Linked DNA regions of Elephas maximus indicus. The main gene of each other region encodes a partner of the protein of the gene in region 2 in a complex. Links are inferred from orthologs where the notes say so. Each region holds a gene or a part of one and is shown on either strand. Other genes may lie near its edges.

Region 1 (8,021 bases), on a different chromosome or scaffold from region 2:
GCGTATGGATATTATTCTATCACTGACAGTGTTGTATTTCAGGATAGATCTTGAAATGTTCTTTTTGAAGAATGTGACGTTATTCTTCATTTTGTCATTCTCAGCATGGCAGACCACGTGATTGTCTGACTTAAAAATACCAATACTGGTCCATTTCCGCTCACTAACACATATGATATCGATCTTTATGCATTTCATTTTTGACGACTTCCAATTTTCCTAGATTCATACTTCATACATTGCACATTCTAATTATTAATGGCTGCCTGTAGCTGTTTCTTTTCATTTTCGGTTTTGACACATCAGCAAATTAGTGTCCCCATTAAGGTCGACTCTACTTTGAGGAGTCAGCTCTTCTCAAGTCATGTTTTGAGTGCTCTCCAATCTGAGGGGCTCATTTTCTGGCAGTATATTATACAATGTTCTATAAGGTTTTCACTGGCCAGATTTTTTCAAAAGTATATTACCAGTTCCTTCTTCTAGTCTGTCTTAGTCTGGAAGCTCCCCGAAACCTGTCCCCCATGGGTGACACTCCTGGCATTTGAAATATCAGTGGAATAGCTGCCAGCATCACAGCAACATGCAAGCCACCACCGTACGACAAACCCTCATATGAGTGGTGGAGGATCAGTATAGGAATACACAAATAGATCCATTGGAAAAAAATACATAGCCCTGGAACAGGCTCACCAACTTATATGAAGAATTGTCTAATCACAGAGGAAGCACACTACAGGGCACTGCCAGAAACTTCAGGCACTTTAATATGTGGGGTAGAGTCAACTAATTATCTAACTGGAACAATGAATGTATTCCTCCATACTCCACATGCAAAAATAAATTCCAAGTAGATTAACTTTAAATGTCAAAATGTAAAATAACACGTTCAGAAATTATAAGCACAATTTCATGACATTAGTAGAGAGAGGAAAAAAAAAGACACAAAGGAAGAGATTGAAAATTCAATTATATTAAAATTTAGGACTCTATCGAAGGAAGCAAAAAATGAGTGAAGACCATAAGTTACATACTAGGGAAAAATTTTCCAATGAAACTATATTTTTCCAAACTCTATAACGAAGCCCTAAAAAGTCACAGAATGGCAAATTTACAGTGGGAAAACACGCACAGCCTTGTCACTATTGCAGTAGTGCAAGATCACTGCAGAATAAACTCAAAGTAACATACGATTTCATAAGCTTTACAAAGCATAATTTAATATATTTGAGAATCCCCATGTTGGCCAAAACAAATGGAACAGATAAAATACATATGCTTATTTTGTGGAAGGGAAAATGGGTAGAGAACACTGTAATTTCCTGATCAATTTAAATTTGGCTATGATCTGCAACTCAGCCGTTTTCCCTCAGTTGGAAGTTACTGTGCATTTAGAGCACGGAAAAAGAATGAACAGAGCAGCACTATTCACAAAAGCAAAACCTAAACTTGAAACTTTAACAATGCCGGGAATGACAAATTGAAGAGGAATGACATTGCATCAGGATTGGAGGAAGATTTATTAACAACCTGCATTATGCACATGACACAACCTTGTTTGCTGAAAGTGAAGACGACTTGAAGCACTTAAACTGATGAAGACCAAATATCATAGCCTTCAGTATGAATTACACCTCAACATAAAGAAAACAAAAATCCTTACATCTGGACTATAGGAAATATCATGATAAATAGAGAAAAGACTGAAGTTGTCAAAGACTTCATTTTACTTGAGTCCACAATCAACATCCATAGAAGCGGCTGTCAAGAAATCAAAAGACACTGCATTAGGAAAATCTGCTGCAGAAGACCTTTTTAAATTGTTAAAAAAACAAAGATGTCACCTTGAAGACTAAAGTGTGCCTGACCCAAGCCATGGTTTTTTCAATTGCTTCATATGCGTGCAAAACCTGGTAAGTGAATAACAAAGACTGTAGAACGATAATCAATGCCTTTGAGTTGTGTTGGTGATACTGAATACACCATGGAGAGCCAAAAGAACAAATCTGTCTTGGAAGAAGTACAACCAGAATGTGCTTCAGAAGGAAGGATGGCAAGACTACCTCTCACATACTTTGGACACGTTATCAGGAGGGATCAGTCACTAGACGACATCATGCTTGGTAAAGCAGAAAACCAAAACCAAACCTGATCCCGACTCATAGCAACCCTACAGGACAGAGTAGAACTGCCCCATAGAGTTTCCAAGGAGCGCCTGGTGGATTCAAACTGCCGACCTTTTTCGTTAGCACCCATAGCTCTTAACCACTGTTACCAGGGTTTCCTTGGTAAAGCAGAGGGTCTGAGAAAAAGAGGAAGACCCTCCATGAGATGGATTTACACAGTGGTTGCAACAATGGCCTCAAGTATGACGACTGTCAGAATGACACAGTATTGGGCAGGGTTTTGTTCTGTTGTACATAGGGTCGTATGAGTGAGAATTGACTCGACGGCATCTAACACCACCACCAATAAATATTTTCCACCTAAAGTGGAGTAACTATGGTCCACAATGAACTTGCTAGTTCTATTCGTGTTTCTTACTACTTTATCTATGCCAAAATCCTATAAAATTAAAAAATCAAACCCCTGCCATGGAGTCAATCCTGACTCACAGCAAACCTATCTGGTAGGATACAACTGCCCCACACAGTTTCCAAGACTGTAATCTTGACAGAAACAGATTGCCCCATCTTTCCTCTGCTCAAAGGGTGGTGGTTTAGAACTGGTGACCTTTCAGTTAGCAGACGAGCGCGTAACCACTGCGCCACCAGAGCCCGTTAACAAACCAGGGGAGGGGGAGACGCCTCCCAACAACCTCGCTTCCTTGAGAACCCCCAAGAGCTTCCCAACAGTCCTTGCCGGCGGGGACGCAGGCGGACGACGGAGCCCGGTGCGGGGCGCACTCAGGCGGCGGCAGCGGGGCGCGCACAGGCTAACTCCCCGGGCCTGTCACCCCGCATTCCTCACAGACTCCCGGCGACGCGGACACCCCTGGTCTCCGCCCACGCACGGCCTCACCTATTAACGCCCCGACACACCTAGGCCTCGCCCCCCTACCTGGCCGTCCCGACGCGGCGGGCGCGGGACTCCTCAGCCGGGCTGGGAGAGCACAGCGGCCGCTTCGCTGCGCCGCCGGCCGAGGCCCAGGCCCCGGAGAAGAGGCAGCGCCGGCAGCGGGAGGCTGCAGGCCAAGTCCGGCTACGGAGGCCCCGCGGCCCGGCACCATCCGGAACCCCAGCGGGCCCCCCCCGCGGACCTGGTACCGGGCCAGGCCGGACGCCGGCGGCGCCACAGACGTACCTCACGCCCCAGCCGGCCGACCGCGAATCATGGCTGCCGGCCGCGCACGCGCACTTCCGCTTCCTGCGCTGAGCTCTCGGCGGGAGGGGCGGGGTGCCGGCGCGGAGGCAGAGGGCTCCGCCCAGTGGTGGGCGCGTCCGGGACTTGGCTTTGGATTTGGGGTCTCTGTCTCTTTATCCTCCATAAACAAAAGCTTTAAAGCAAACACCGTTGACAACTAGTTAATCCTGACTCATATCAACCCTACAGGACTGAGTAGAACTGCCCCAGGGGTTTCCAAGGCTGTAATCTTTACCGAAGCACACTGCCACATCTTTCTCTTGTAGAGCCGCTGGTGGAATCCAACTGCTTAACCACTGCGAATACAAAGGATTCAAATTGACTACATCTGTGGTGGAAACAGATGATGGAAAAGCTCAATATCATCAGTCAGAACAAGGCCAGGACTGTAAAACACCACCAATTGCCCCTATGCAAGTTCAAGTTGAAGGTGAAGAAAATTAGAACAAGTCCTATGAGAGTATGACCTTCCTTACACTCCATCTGCATGTAGAGACCATCTCAAGAATAGGTCTGATGTGTTGAACACTAATGATCAAAGTCCAGATGAGTTGTGGGACGACATCAACGAAGTCCTACATGAAGAAAGCAAGAGGTCACTAAAAAGATAAGAGAGAAAGTGAAGACCAAAATGGATGTGAGAACAGACTCTGAAGTTTTCTCTAGAATGGACTAGCTAAAGACAAAGGAAGAAATGATGAAGTAAAAGAGCTGAACAGATGATTTCGAAGGTCAGATTGAGAAAGCAAAGTACTACAATGAAATGTGCAAAAACCTAGGGGAAGAACATGCTGGGCATTTCTCAAGCTGAAAGAATTGAAGAGAAAATTCAAGCCTTGAGTTGGAATATTAAAAGATTGTCGTTATGCTTGAGCCCATTATTGCAGCCACTGTGTCACTCCATGTGGTTGAGGGTCTTCCTCTTTTTTGCTGACCCTCTACCATGCGTGATATCCTTCTCTGGGGACTGGTCCCTCCTGATATCATCCTTGAAGAATGTGAGACGAAGTCACACCATCTGCTTCTCTTGAAGGATACTGTAGGCAAAACACTGAACAACTCAGGAACCATCAAAAGAAAATGGAAGGCTGTAAGGTAATGCTATTCAGCTATATGCATACCTCCTAATGGAATCAGCTTTGCTCTTCCCCGAAGCATGCTGGGGATGAATTCAGGATGGACTCAGGCTAAGGTACAACGGTGGGAGTGGCATGACTGGGCCAGCGGCCAAGCATGAGGAATGCCTTAGCAACAGGAAGGAAAACATCTGGGCCTGGGCGTGAAGTCCCTGGGAACACAGACTGCCCAAGAACGTGGGAGAAAAACAACGAGCCTTGGTCCTAGCTGGAGTGGTACATAAGGTTGGGTTCCTTGCTAGGTGGTTGCAGAGCACTGAACTGGGCCAGCTGCCGTCCCTTGCTAGGTGGTTGCGGGGTGCTTAACTGGTCCAGCTGCCGCCCTGAACCACGGTCCCATAAGTAAGCTTCCCAAATAAACCATACATATGTCATGATCACTGGTTCCAGAGTCTTTCCTAGGTCTCTTGGAGATGCAGCTAACCTTGGGTTCAGGTACCATTGGGTTGTTATCCAACAATTGGCAAGCCAGCCAGGAGACTGAGGAAACCTCCATGAGTGCTGGACATATGGCAGGGAGAGGGACCTTGATGGTAGGAATCCCTGGATGGCCCCTGTCCTCCATATATGTGGCGGGGAGGGGGGGTCGTGGCTATGGATACCTGGATCCCACCGCATGAGTACGGGGACGCTCCAAAAATGCCTAAGGGCATTGAAGATATGCTGTGTCAGCTGGAGTCCCCAAAGCGAAAGCCAGATGGCCATGCTGAGGCGGCTTGTGTGGGGTGGCTTCTACTGGCAGCGCTGAGAGGGGCGTCCGATCCCGAGCCAGCCGCTAGGGCCCTAACTAGGCAGCTGGAAGCAGAGCTGCAACTGGAGGGTTTGCGGGCAGCATACTCCTCCTCCACTGAAACATTAGTGCCCCGTTTGCAGAAGCAAGAGGCATTTTCGGGGGACATCCTGGGGTGGCCAACGACCTCTATGTGGGGAGGTCTGGCCCGTATGCTTTTCTGTGGGAGAAATCCTGGGGTGGCCAGCCAAGCCTGGCTAGCTCAATCGGTAGAGCATGGGACTGGAGCTACTTGGAGGGGATAAACAGGTCTCTGGCGCTGAGAACGCCCTGTAACACCCAGTGCAAAGCAAGAGTTAAAACAGCAGGGAAAAAAGAAAAAACAGGAGTAAAAAGCCCGTCAGGATAGCTTGTGTTGAGCGACCTTGAAGAGACCTCAGAATTCTCTGACAGCTGCCCCCACCAAGGTAACTGAACAGCAACCTAGCTGTAACTGCAATAGTAAGGGGAAAACTAAAAGAGGGGGCCCACCTCCAGGTTACCAGGTAACTGGGCTGGACCCATGCTTGCACTTGGTGTGATGGAGGTGTGGCCCCATAAATGAGTGAGGGCTCTGCCAACTTTTCCCAGATCTTTCAGAAATAATTAAGATTGAGGATTAAGCCTAATTCCTTTGTTACCAACGAGGAGCAAAGGCCTTGTGTTAAAATTAAAGTCCAGTGAGGTATACTTTGGGTCTGAGGTCACTCTCACTGAGACACTTACCCCAGCCTGACTATGGAGAAGTCCCTTGGAGCCCCTACAAATCCTTACTGCATGTACTGATGATGTCGATGTATTAATGCACACCTTTGTAGACTTTTGCCTCCAAGTCCTGATGGGAATTGCTGCAGTTAGGGCCATTTTTAGAGGGGCACGAGGAAACTGTGACATGGGCTATAGCTAACAGCCTGGCCATTCAATCTGGCCACTGAAAACCCTCGGACTGACATATAAAGCAATCCCCTACAGAGATGAGACATCTGGACGAAATAAATAACAAAAGCAGTCCTGCTCCTGAGAAACTTTTGTTACTTGTGTGGATAGTCATCAGAAAAGCCCCTGTGCTGAGAGTGGAAAACAGCCAACGAGCAGACCGGTCTTACCAGCTGACTGCAGAGGCTGAAGCATTGTCTGCTCCCGGGTGAAGAGATGTGCAGTCAACCACCTCCTGGATGTAAGAGAGAACCATCCATGGAGATTCACACACCATCCTAGACGGGGCCTACATACATGGACTGCCACTGCCATCAGAAAACGCTGGACAACACAGAAAATCTGACCTGCCTACAAGACCCTGGCCAAGACTAAACCTGTGCAGGGACAGATTCCCGAGCCAACAGGCCAGGGTGTTCTCAGCAGGCAAGTCATATCAGGGCATTTTATCCCATATAGAGGCTTCCACTGGATCTTCAATGAACTCGTCACACTCTTTATCACCCCAAGACGTAGGGGCAAAGGAGCACTTCAATGGACAGGTTTAAATGGCTGATGGGAGGGGACGAGACAACCCCAGCCTGGACCATGCATCTCAGACAAGCAGTCTGGGGTCTCAGTGCAGCAGTTCCCTGCAAGGGCATTTCTTATTTGTGCCGTATGTTTGATCAAACTATCTATTCTATAAAATGTGCGTCTTTGGTGTAAAATTGTTCCTGACAAAAGATCTGGGTTCCACAAAGGCACTGACCAGAGCCCACAAGAGGAGGCCAATCCTATGGCTCCCTCTGCCAAGGGGTGGGAATTTCCCTCACCCCTAGACTAGAGGTGTGGCCAAGGTGCACCACAGGTGCGGGAAACCATCTGCTGGGTGACAGGGGGCCAGAGGCCACACACTGAAATGATCATACTCTGGACCCCCACTAACGAACATGTTCTGGCTCTGGTAGACACTGGAGCAAAGTGCATCCTGATGTATGATAACCCAGGTAGGTTTAAAGGGCCACTAACACCTATTGATGCGTACAGGGGTGGGGCTGTCAGGGTGTGCCAAATTAAACTAGTGCTGCAGATTGGAAGGCTACCCCTAAAGGTCTACCAAGTATACAGAGCCCCAATACTGGAATACGTTCTGGGCAGAGATACCTTGTTGAGGCTGGAGCTGCAGACCTCCGGTGAGTTCTACCTGCAAGTGAGAGCCATAAAACCTGTAGTACAAGGTAATGCTAAATGGTTCCCTGTGCAGTTGCACTCCCCAGCTCTGGTCATGGCCCTTAAGCAGTACTGCCTCCCTTGCAGACACTGAGAAATCACTGAGGCCAGGTGCTACACCCAGTGGGGATTCTGAGACCAGCCAAGAGCCCCTTCGATAGTCCTGTCTGGCCGATGCACAAGCCGGACAGCTCCTGGAGAATGATGGTAAACTACTGGGAATTGAATACGGTGACTCCCCCTTGTTTGCAGCTGTACTCAACAGCGCAGAGATGATGGGGCAAATGGGGCAGGCGTTGGGCACTTACCACTTTGTGCTTGATTTGGCTAATGCTTTCTTAGCATCCTTCTACACCCAGACAGACAGGACCAGTTTGCCTTCAGTTGTGAGGCGAGGCAGTGGGCCTTCACTGTGCTGCCACAAGGGTACCTGCATAGCCCTACCATATGCCATGGCATGGTTGCCACTGACCTCGAGCAGTGGATTCCCCCTGCTGAGGTGGCCGTATTCCACAATATTGATGATGTCATGCTGACCTCTGACTCCTTTGCTTCTTTGCAGACTGCAGCTGGCGAGGTAGTCACGCACCTCCAGTCGCGGGGATGGG
Region 2 (8,074 bases):
GACAGCCTAAACCTAAGGATGGGCAGGATGGAGCTGGGATAAGATCACTGATCTAAAGATTGTCATTGTTGTTGTTGTGTGCTGTCGATTTTGAATCATAGTGACCCTATAGGATAGAGTAGAACTGCCCCATAGGGTTTCCTACGCTATAATCTTTACAGGAGCAAATTGTCAGGTCTTTCCTCCCGCGGAGCAGCTCGTAGGTTCAAACTGCAACCTTTCAGTTAGTAGCCAAGCACTTAACCATTCCACCACCAGGGCTACTTGATCTGAAGATTTAAAAACCCATTGCTACTAACTAGCGACATGACATAGGGCAGACTCTGCTATCTCTCTGGGTACTGGCTTCCTCATCTATAAAATACCATGACTTCGCTATATCATCTCAAAATCCTTCTTTACCTAAAATCTCATTATTCAACCTTCACAGAAGGAAGTCAAAAATCAAATCTTAAATGATCAATTTCACTTAATGTGTACTTGACTGAACTGTATGACACTGTTCCTGGGACCAAATATAAAACTGAATTAGTTAGCATTAACCACGTTCTCACGGGTGAATATTTTCCCTAAGTGCCATGTACTACCTTTGCACTCTCTTCTCCAAATGTTTGAAAAAGATAAAGTCAAGGTTCTTTCTGTCATTAGTTCATAGCACCTGTACAAACTTGCCTTTTTTTCCCTTCTGATTTAATGAGAAACTGTTTTAGAAAAGTTATCTTTGGTGTAGGGTAGAGTACTTTTACTTAAACTGATGTTCACTTCTAGAAAAATTTAAGGCTGCTTAACTGGTGCCAGCGAGCATGTCAACAAGTAAAAGGACAATTAAAATTAAGGCATTCTTTGGTTTAAATCTAAGAGTTATTTAAAATGTTTTAAGATAACAAGCAGGGTTTGGAAATGGCTCTGCCCTCTGTTTCTTTCTCCTGCCTGGTTTAGTGGCTGCTCTGAACAGTTTCCAGTTCTGCTGGGATATAATTAAAATTGAATCCTCTAGTCATATTACCTTACCTTCTCCTTATTTTTTTTTTCCCCCTCTCTCAGGGGCCTTTAAGGGCTCTCTCTGGGTGAGAGGAGACAGCCTGATGTTTCCGAACTTAAAATACTGTCTGAGAATTTTTGGTCTAGCTGAATTACTTCTATGTCTAATCAAATAACCTGGGGTTAAAGCAGAGGGTCTACAAAGGAGCTACTAAATTCTAGCCCAAAACACACTTTTGGAGAAGCTTAATTTATCATCAGTTTTTTAGAGATTTATGTCTTACCTCAGACGCTTCCTGTCTCTTGACCGAGATCTTCTTTTATCCCTGCTACGAGATCTCTCTCTCCTTCTATCTCTATCTCTACTTCTAGACCGTCTGTCATCTCCACGTTTACTTCTTTTGTCAGAGGGAGAACGACTTCTAGATCGACTTCCAGAGCGTCCACGTGATGCTGATCGCTTCCGATAGTGGCTAGAATATTATTACTTCAAATATTAAGCTTAGCTCACACAGAGTCTATTTTATTTTATTACATTTCCCTCCAAAATAGCAGCAGACATATTAAAAACTGAAAAGATTCTTTTCACAATCCTTTTTTAAATTGGGGGTAAAGAATGAACCTTTTTGCTACATCACATGTTGAGAGGAGGAAAACTGTTGAAAGAGAAGCAAGGAAAGTGAAGAAAACAGACCAAGCCTCTGCCTTTGGGCTACAGGCTGCTTATATTTGGTGGAGGAAGAGTTAATAGACACGTAAAGAAATAAACGTACAATATGTCAAGTGTTGCTATGAAGAAAAATAGATCGGAGTAAAGGAAAAGGAAAGATAATGTGACTTGAGAGGTTTGCAATTTTAAATCAGGTGGTTACGGAAGGCCTCCATAATAAAGTAACATTTGTTATGCAGGCTTTGAAGGAAGTAACAGGAGGAACCATACAGATATATGGCAGAAGAACTTTCAAAGCAAAAGGCACTGTAAGCGCAAAGATCCTGAAGAGGAAGCTTAATTGGTGTGCTCAAGGAATAGCAAAAAAGTCAAGGCGGCCAGAGTGACATTGTTCTTACCCAGGCGATGATTACATGGTTTATATATTTGCTAAATTTCATCAAGCTCTACCCTTAAGCTTTGTATATTTCCCTGAATGATAATTATACCCCAATAAAGTACAGTTAACATTTTTAAAAAAACTCCTCATGGTCCCTAGAAATAAAAGCTCTTTCAATCACTGCTAAACACATTGCAAACAGTCATCTTTAAGATAAAAATCTCAAGGTGCTGAACCAGTTATGAACAATCTAAAGTTCTGAAGAGATCTCACAGTCCTAACAAGATCTCTCAATCTTCGGTTTCAAAAAGTTTGAAACCAGGTAACAGAGAAATATGAAACCTATTTTCAGAATAAATGCCCATGTAACATGTACTTATTGTGGCTCAATTAAAGCTTAGTCTTATACGGTGTTGTAGGTTATGTAAAAATGTGCACATGCTCCTTGCAACTGACTTGGAAAATATCACACACGCACAGAGAACGAATATACAGACTGAAGGGCGCTTAGGAAATGTTGCAAACCCTAAGCAGTAGGGATCACTACTGACTGAAATGATCAAGGTTGGTTGCGTGAAAGTGGCGCTCAATCATAGTCGACCCGGGAGGGCTGTTCCCGTTCCAGGGGCTCGAATCGGCTGACGATAATGCAGGAGACTCCTGTGCCCGTAGCCAGATCAAGTACAGCCATTCCCTCAGCCGAGGGCCCCGAGCCCCACCAGCAGCCGCGGGACCGCGCCGGCCGCACGTGGGGCCGCGCTGGACCAGACCTGGCCCCTTGGCCACCTCAACTCCCGCCTCTTCCCTCCACCGAAGAAGCCACTCGCCCGCACCCCCGCTGGGCGCGTTGCCTCACCGTGACTCCCGGCCCATACTGCTCGCTGCGGGAAAGCCGACGCCCTTCGGGACAGCGCGATGGAGAAGAGAACAAAAGGGCTAGCTGCACTGCCGTCGGCGAGCCGGGCAAGGGCCACCACTAAGAGCTAGCAACAGCTACTGTGGTGGCGGCCATCCCAGCGCGGCCAACGAAAGCAGGAAGTTCCGGCACCACTAAGAGATAGCAACAGCTACTGTGGGGGCGGCCATCCCAGAGCGGCCAACGAAAGCAGGAAGTTCCGGCGCCGGCGGCAGAAGGAAAGGAAAAGCCGGCCGGAAACTGCTGCATCTCCACAGCGCCGCCTCTCGCTTGGAGGCGGGACAGCACCGGCTGCGCCGAAAAGAAATGGCTGGGTTGGGTTTTCCCTACATAGTCCCTGACACCCAGGTCCCATAGCGACCCTATTTACAACAGAACAGAACACTGCCGGGTCCTGCATCGTCCCGTTTTTACTGCACGCTAAACAATGTTATAGGGTCGCTATGAGTCAGAATCGACTCGACGGCCCTGGGTTTTTTTTAAAACAATGTTACAATCATTCATTTATACATAAACCAAAAAACCAAACCCACTGCCGTCGAGTCGATTCCGACTCATAGCAACCCTATAGGACAGGGTAGAACTGTCCCACATAGTTTCCAAGGAGCGCCTGGCGGATTCCAACTGCCGACCTCTTGGTTAGCAGCTGTAGTACATAACCACTACGCCACCAGGGTTTCCCATTTACACATGCATTCATTTATTTACATGTATTATTATGTGCCAGACATGGAGAGCTTATGGTCTAGTGGGGCAACAGACATTACTAAAAACACAAGCAAAGGTAGTAACAGCAAGGAAAGACCTAATATAGAAGAGAGATTCAGGGAAAGAATTCTCTGTGGAAATTGTGCACGGTAGAAGCCCCAGGTTCTGCTTGTCACCACTCACCTCAGCCAATAAAGAGAGGCCAAAGTGAAAGAGTAGAAAGGAGCCTTTATTTGGTTGCTCAAGGAAAGGAAGAGTCAGGTTGCTGCCACGGAGACTGCTCAGCGAGGGCGAGGGGAGGGTTATTTTTCAGGGGGTTACAAGTAGGAAGCTCATACAAGTTCTATCAACAACATTTTTAATCATACTATGCTAGCACAATGGGGTTTGCATATAACTTCATCCATGGCATCGTCAGAAAATGGCGGTTAAACTCCATCCAGAGGAGTTAGTATGTATGGGGTCTAAAAGATTATCCTGAATGTCAACATGGCTCCTAAACCAGTTTCCACCAATCTCTTCTAGTTTGGGGTAGCTGTTAAGAAGAGGGGAACCAGGATTTTAATGTAAGGTTATGGGCATGCCAGCAAGCTGCTTCAGGTGGTGGAATTTTCCGAAACCTGGGGACCTATGTCTTAGAAGTGTTCTATGAGGTGAGATCTGAAGGAGAAGATGCTGAAAAGTACATTAGCAAAAGATGATAAAGGTTCTCAACATTTGCTGCACTAAGAAGATTTTTTAAAAGTGTGGATGCCGGGGATCCATCCCAATATTTTGATGTAATTGGTCCAAGTTGCTTCTTGTGCGTTGGGAATGTTTAAGCTTCACAGTTGATTATAAAGTACAGTCAAGGTAGAAGATGACTGGCCTAGAGGAAACTGACCTGTTACTAACAGTTGTTTCTGTAGAAAACTGTCATAGAGTCCCTAAGGAAGAGTCCCTTGCTTTATGAGTCTGGGCTATTATACTTTCTTACACCTAAGAATGACAGAAACATTCTGTATCATAATTCTGGCATCAGTTGTATCGATATGTTCCCTTGTAAAAATTCATTCACTTGAAATTGGTGCACCTTGTAGTATGTAAATTTTACCTCAATAAAGGTGATTAAAAATAACAAGACACCAACAGGTAAGATTCCAAAATGAGTTTCTGCTCTTCCTTCGTGGCATAGTGCTTATCTCCGGCAACAGTGAGAAGAATCTGGAAGGTCTGGCAGTCCGTGACAAGGATGAGGAAGGCCTGCACTATTGTGTGACAAGATGGAAACTAAGGAGTGTCAGGTTATCAGAGACATTGTAAGTTGAAACAGTTTACAATTGCTTGGATGTGGACTGAAGGTAAGGAGTGTGGATTCAGTCTAAGAGCAAAAGGAAACCACTATTGACTTAAACTATAAAGACAGAGAAAAGTGGTCAGATTTTGGATATATTCTGGAGGCAGCTCTCAAAACACTACGTAATAAACTGAATGTATACTGTGAGGGAAAAGGAGGAATAAAGATGACTCCCAGTTTTTGGCAATAGCTACTGTGGATTGTCCCCCATATGTCTGTCAGTTTGTCCTATGGTGGGGGCTTGCATGTCACCATGATGCTGGAAGCTATGCCACCAGTATTCAACACCAACAGGGCCACTTATGGCATACAGGTTTCAGCTGAGCTTTCAGACTAACACAAAGTAGGAAGAAGGACCCAGCTAAATTCAAAAGAATTAGCCAGTGAAAACCTTTGAATAAGAGCAGAACATTGTCTCATATCGTGCTGGAAGATGAGACCCTCGGGTTGGAAAGCACTCAAAATGTGAAAGGGACAGAGCTGCCTCTTCAAAGTAGTTGATCTTAATGATGTAGATGGAGTCAAGCTTTTGGAACCTTCATTTGCTGAAGTGACATGACTCAAAATGAGAAGAAACAGCTGCGAACATCCATTAATAATGAGGACGTGGAATTATGAAGTATGAATCTAGGAAAATTAGAAGTTGTCAAAAATGAAATGGAACTCATTAACATCAATAGCCTAGGCATTAGTGAGCTGAAATGGACTGGTATTGGCCATTTTGAACCAAACAATCATATGGTCTACTACGCTGGGAATGACAACTTGAAGAAGAATGGCATTGCATTCATCATCAAAAAACATTTCAAGAGGCGGGGCCAAGATGGCTGACTAGGTAGAAGCTACCTAGGATCCCTCTTGCAACAAAGACTCAGAAAAGCAAGTGAATAGATCACATACATGACAATCTACAAGCCCTGACTGTCAAACACAGATCTAAAGAGTTGACCTGAGTGACAGACTCAGCCAGCGCAAGCAGGCTGCACACTGACAACGGCTAACGAGAGAACCAGCAACCACCAGCAAGCAGAGACTGTTTTCGGAGCCAAGAGCCAGCATCCCAGTCAGGAAACCTTGGCGCTGGGCTTTGTACTGGGCGCAGCAGAGCTTAGCACGGCATCCTGAGACGGTGCGAACACGGGACGCAGCCCTAGCCCCCAGAAATGACCTCGGGGGAAGCCCAGCCAGTGCACGCAGGCAGCGCAGCAACGTGGCTGACAGGAGAAGTCACCGGGAGGTAGCGACTGGTTTTGGAGCCTGGAGTGTGTCGTCCCAGCTGGGGAAACTTGGCGCTGGGCTTTGCACTGGAAGCAGAGGAACTGACCACGGCTTCTGAGACAGCACAAGCACAGGACACCGGCCTGACCCTCTGGGACAATCTCGACCCAGCCAGCCAACACACACAGGCTATACACCCCTCCGGAATCTCAGATAAAACAGTCATCACTAAGTAAGATAAGTAACTTGGTCTATATTCCTGGGTGCTACTCTCTCCTATCTATCTGATCCCTCCCATCTTCTTCCCAGGCCACTTCATTAACATTGGAATTTCCTGGGCCAGAGAGTGAAGTGCTCTGCAATTTTTTGTTTTGTTGTCTTTTCCTAACCTATTCTCCTGGCCTGAGAGAAGCAGCTACAAAAAAAACAGGGACCAAAAATCCTTCCCTGACTTCCTGAAATTGGAATAAAAACACAGAACCAGCTCCAGCCAAGCATATGAGATCCACGATCTAGGGCTTTCATCCCCACAGGCAACAAGGTGGCTATTATAATGCAAAGGCAATTCTGATAGTGATCTGACTGTAATTGTTTTATCCCATTACTGGAAAGACAAGTTTCCCTGGTCTGATATCTCTACCTATTAAACAGAGCCTTCACTGACCCACAATGGGGAACTGAGGGCTGAAGCTCCACCCAAACCACCTAGCCTCCTGCCATAGGGGTCTGAGGATAGTGACACCTCCCAATCTGTAGAGGTATATGCATTGGGTGCCTAAGGTACAGCTGCAGAGCACACCCACCAAAGTGCTTTAGGAATAGAGACACACCTACCTCAATGGCACTTGGGGGAAGCCTGTCAGCATCCTGCCCCCCCTGGAGTGTGACCCCCTGCCGCTACTAGGATCTGGTGCACACGACTATCACCACTACTCCTTTAAGTGAATAGGTGATAGTCTACACCACACAATTGGTAACCCAAAATCAGATTCTACTCAAGAATAGTGAATGGACTCTTAGGCTTATATATCTGCTAACAACCCAAACCAGCTGGTAATAGGACATAAGTGATTCAAAGGCTACAATAATCAAGACAGCGCAATCTAGTAGCCCATCTACGTATATTGAAAGAAAACAAAACAAGATAAGACTCAGTGAGCAAATATAAAATAAATCATTACAATATCTTAGAGATGGCTCGGAGACAGCAGTCGATATCAAGCCACATAAAGAAGCGGACCATGATTGCTTCTAAAAAAAAAAAAAATTTTTTTTACAACTCCCCAAATTAAAGAATCAAAATCTTTCCCAAATGAAGATACAATCCTGGAATTGCCAGATGCAGAATATAAAAAACTAATTTACAGAATGCTTCAAGAATCAGGGATGACCTCAGAAATGAAATAAGGCAATTTACAGAAAAAGCGAAGGAACACGCTGATAAACCAGTTGAAGAAATCAAAAAGATTATTCAAGAACATAGTGGAAAAATTAATAAGCTGCAAGAATCCACAGACAGACAGCATTCAGAAATCCAAAAGATTAACAGTAAAATTACAGAATTAGACAACTCAGTAGGAAGTCACAGGAGCAGACCAAGCAATTGGAATGCAGAGTGGGGGAGGTGGAGCATAAGGCAATTGACGCCAATATAGTTCAAGAAAAATCAGATAAAAGAATTAAAAAAAATGAAGAAACCCTAAGACTCATGTGGGACTCTATCAAGAAGAATAACTTGCGTGTGATTGGAGTTTGAGAACAGGGAGGGATAACAGAAAATACAGAGAGAATAGTTGAAGATCTGTTGGCAGAAAACTTCCCTGACATCATGAAAGACAAAAGGATATCTATCCAAGATGCTCATCA

Evidence for each region.
Region 1: DDX46 (region 2) and SF3A2 share a complex: the UniProt entries of both Homo sapiens proteins name them as parts of the 17S U2 SnRNP complex. The link is inferred for Elephas maximus indicus from reciprocal best matches to the Homo sapiens genes DDX46 and SF3A2.

The regions. Positions count from the first base shown.
Region 1 is NC_064821.1:2,910,683-2,918,703, reverse strand, and holds the start of SF3A2 (splicing factor 3A subunit 2), read right to left. Parts: upstream 3,143-8,021; 5' UTR 3,058-3,142; intron 1-3,057. UniProt on the Homo sapiens protein: Component of the 17S U2 SnRNP complex of the spliceosome, a large ribonucleoprotein complex that removes introns from transcribed pre-mRNAs.
Region 2 is NC_064820.1:147,205,155-147,213,228, reverse strand, and holds the start of DDX46 (probable ATP-dependent RNA helicase DDX46), read right to left. Parts: upstream 3,133-8,074; 5' UTR 2,904-3,132; coding exon 2,887-2,903; intron 1,455-2,886; coding exon 1,266-1,454; intron 1-1,265. UniProt on the Homo sapiens protein: Component of the 17S U2 SnRNP complex of the spliceosome, a large ribonucleoprotein complex that removes introns from transcribed pre-mRNAs.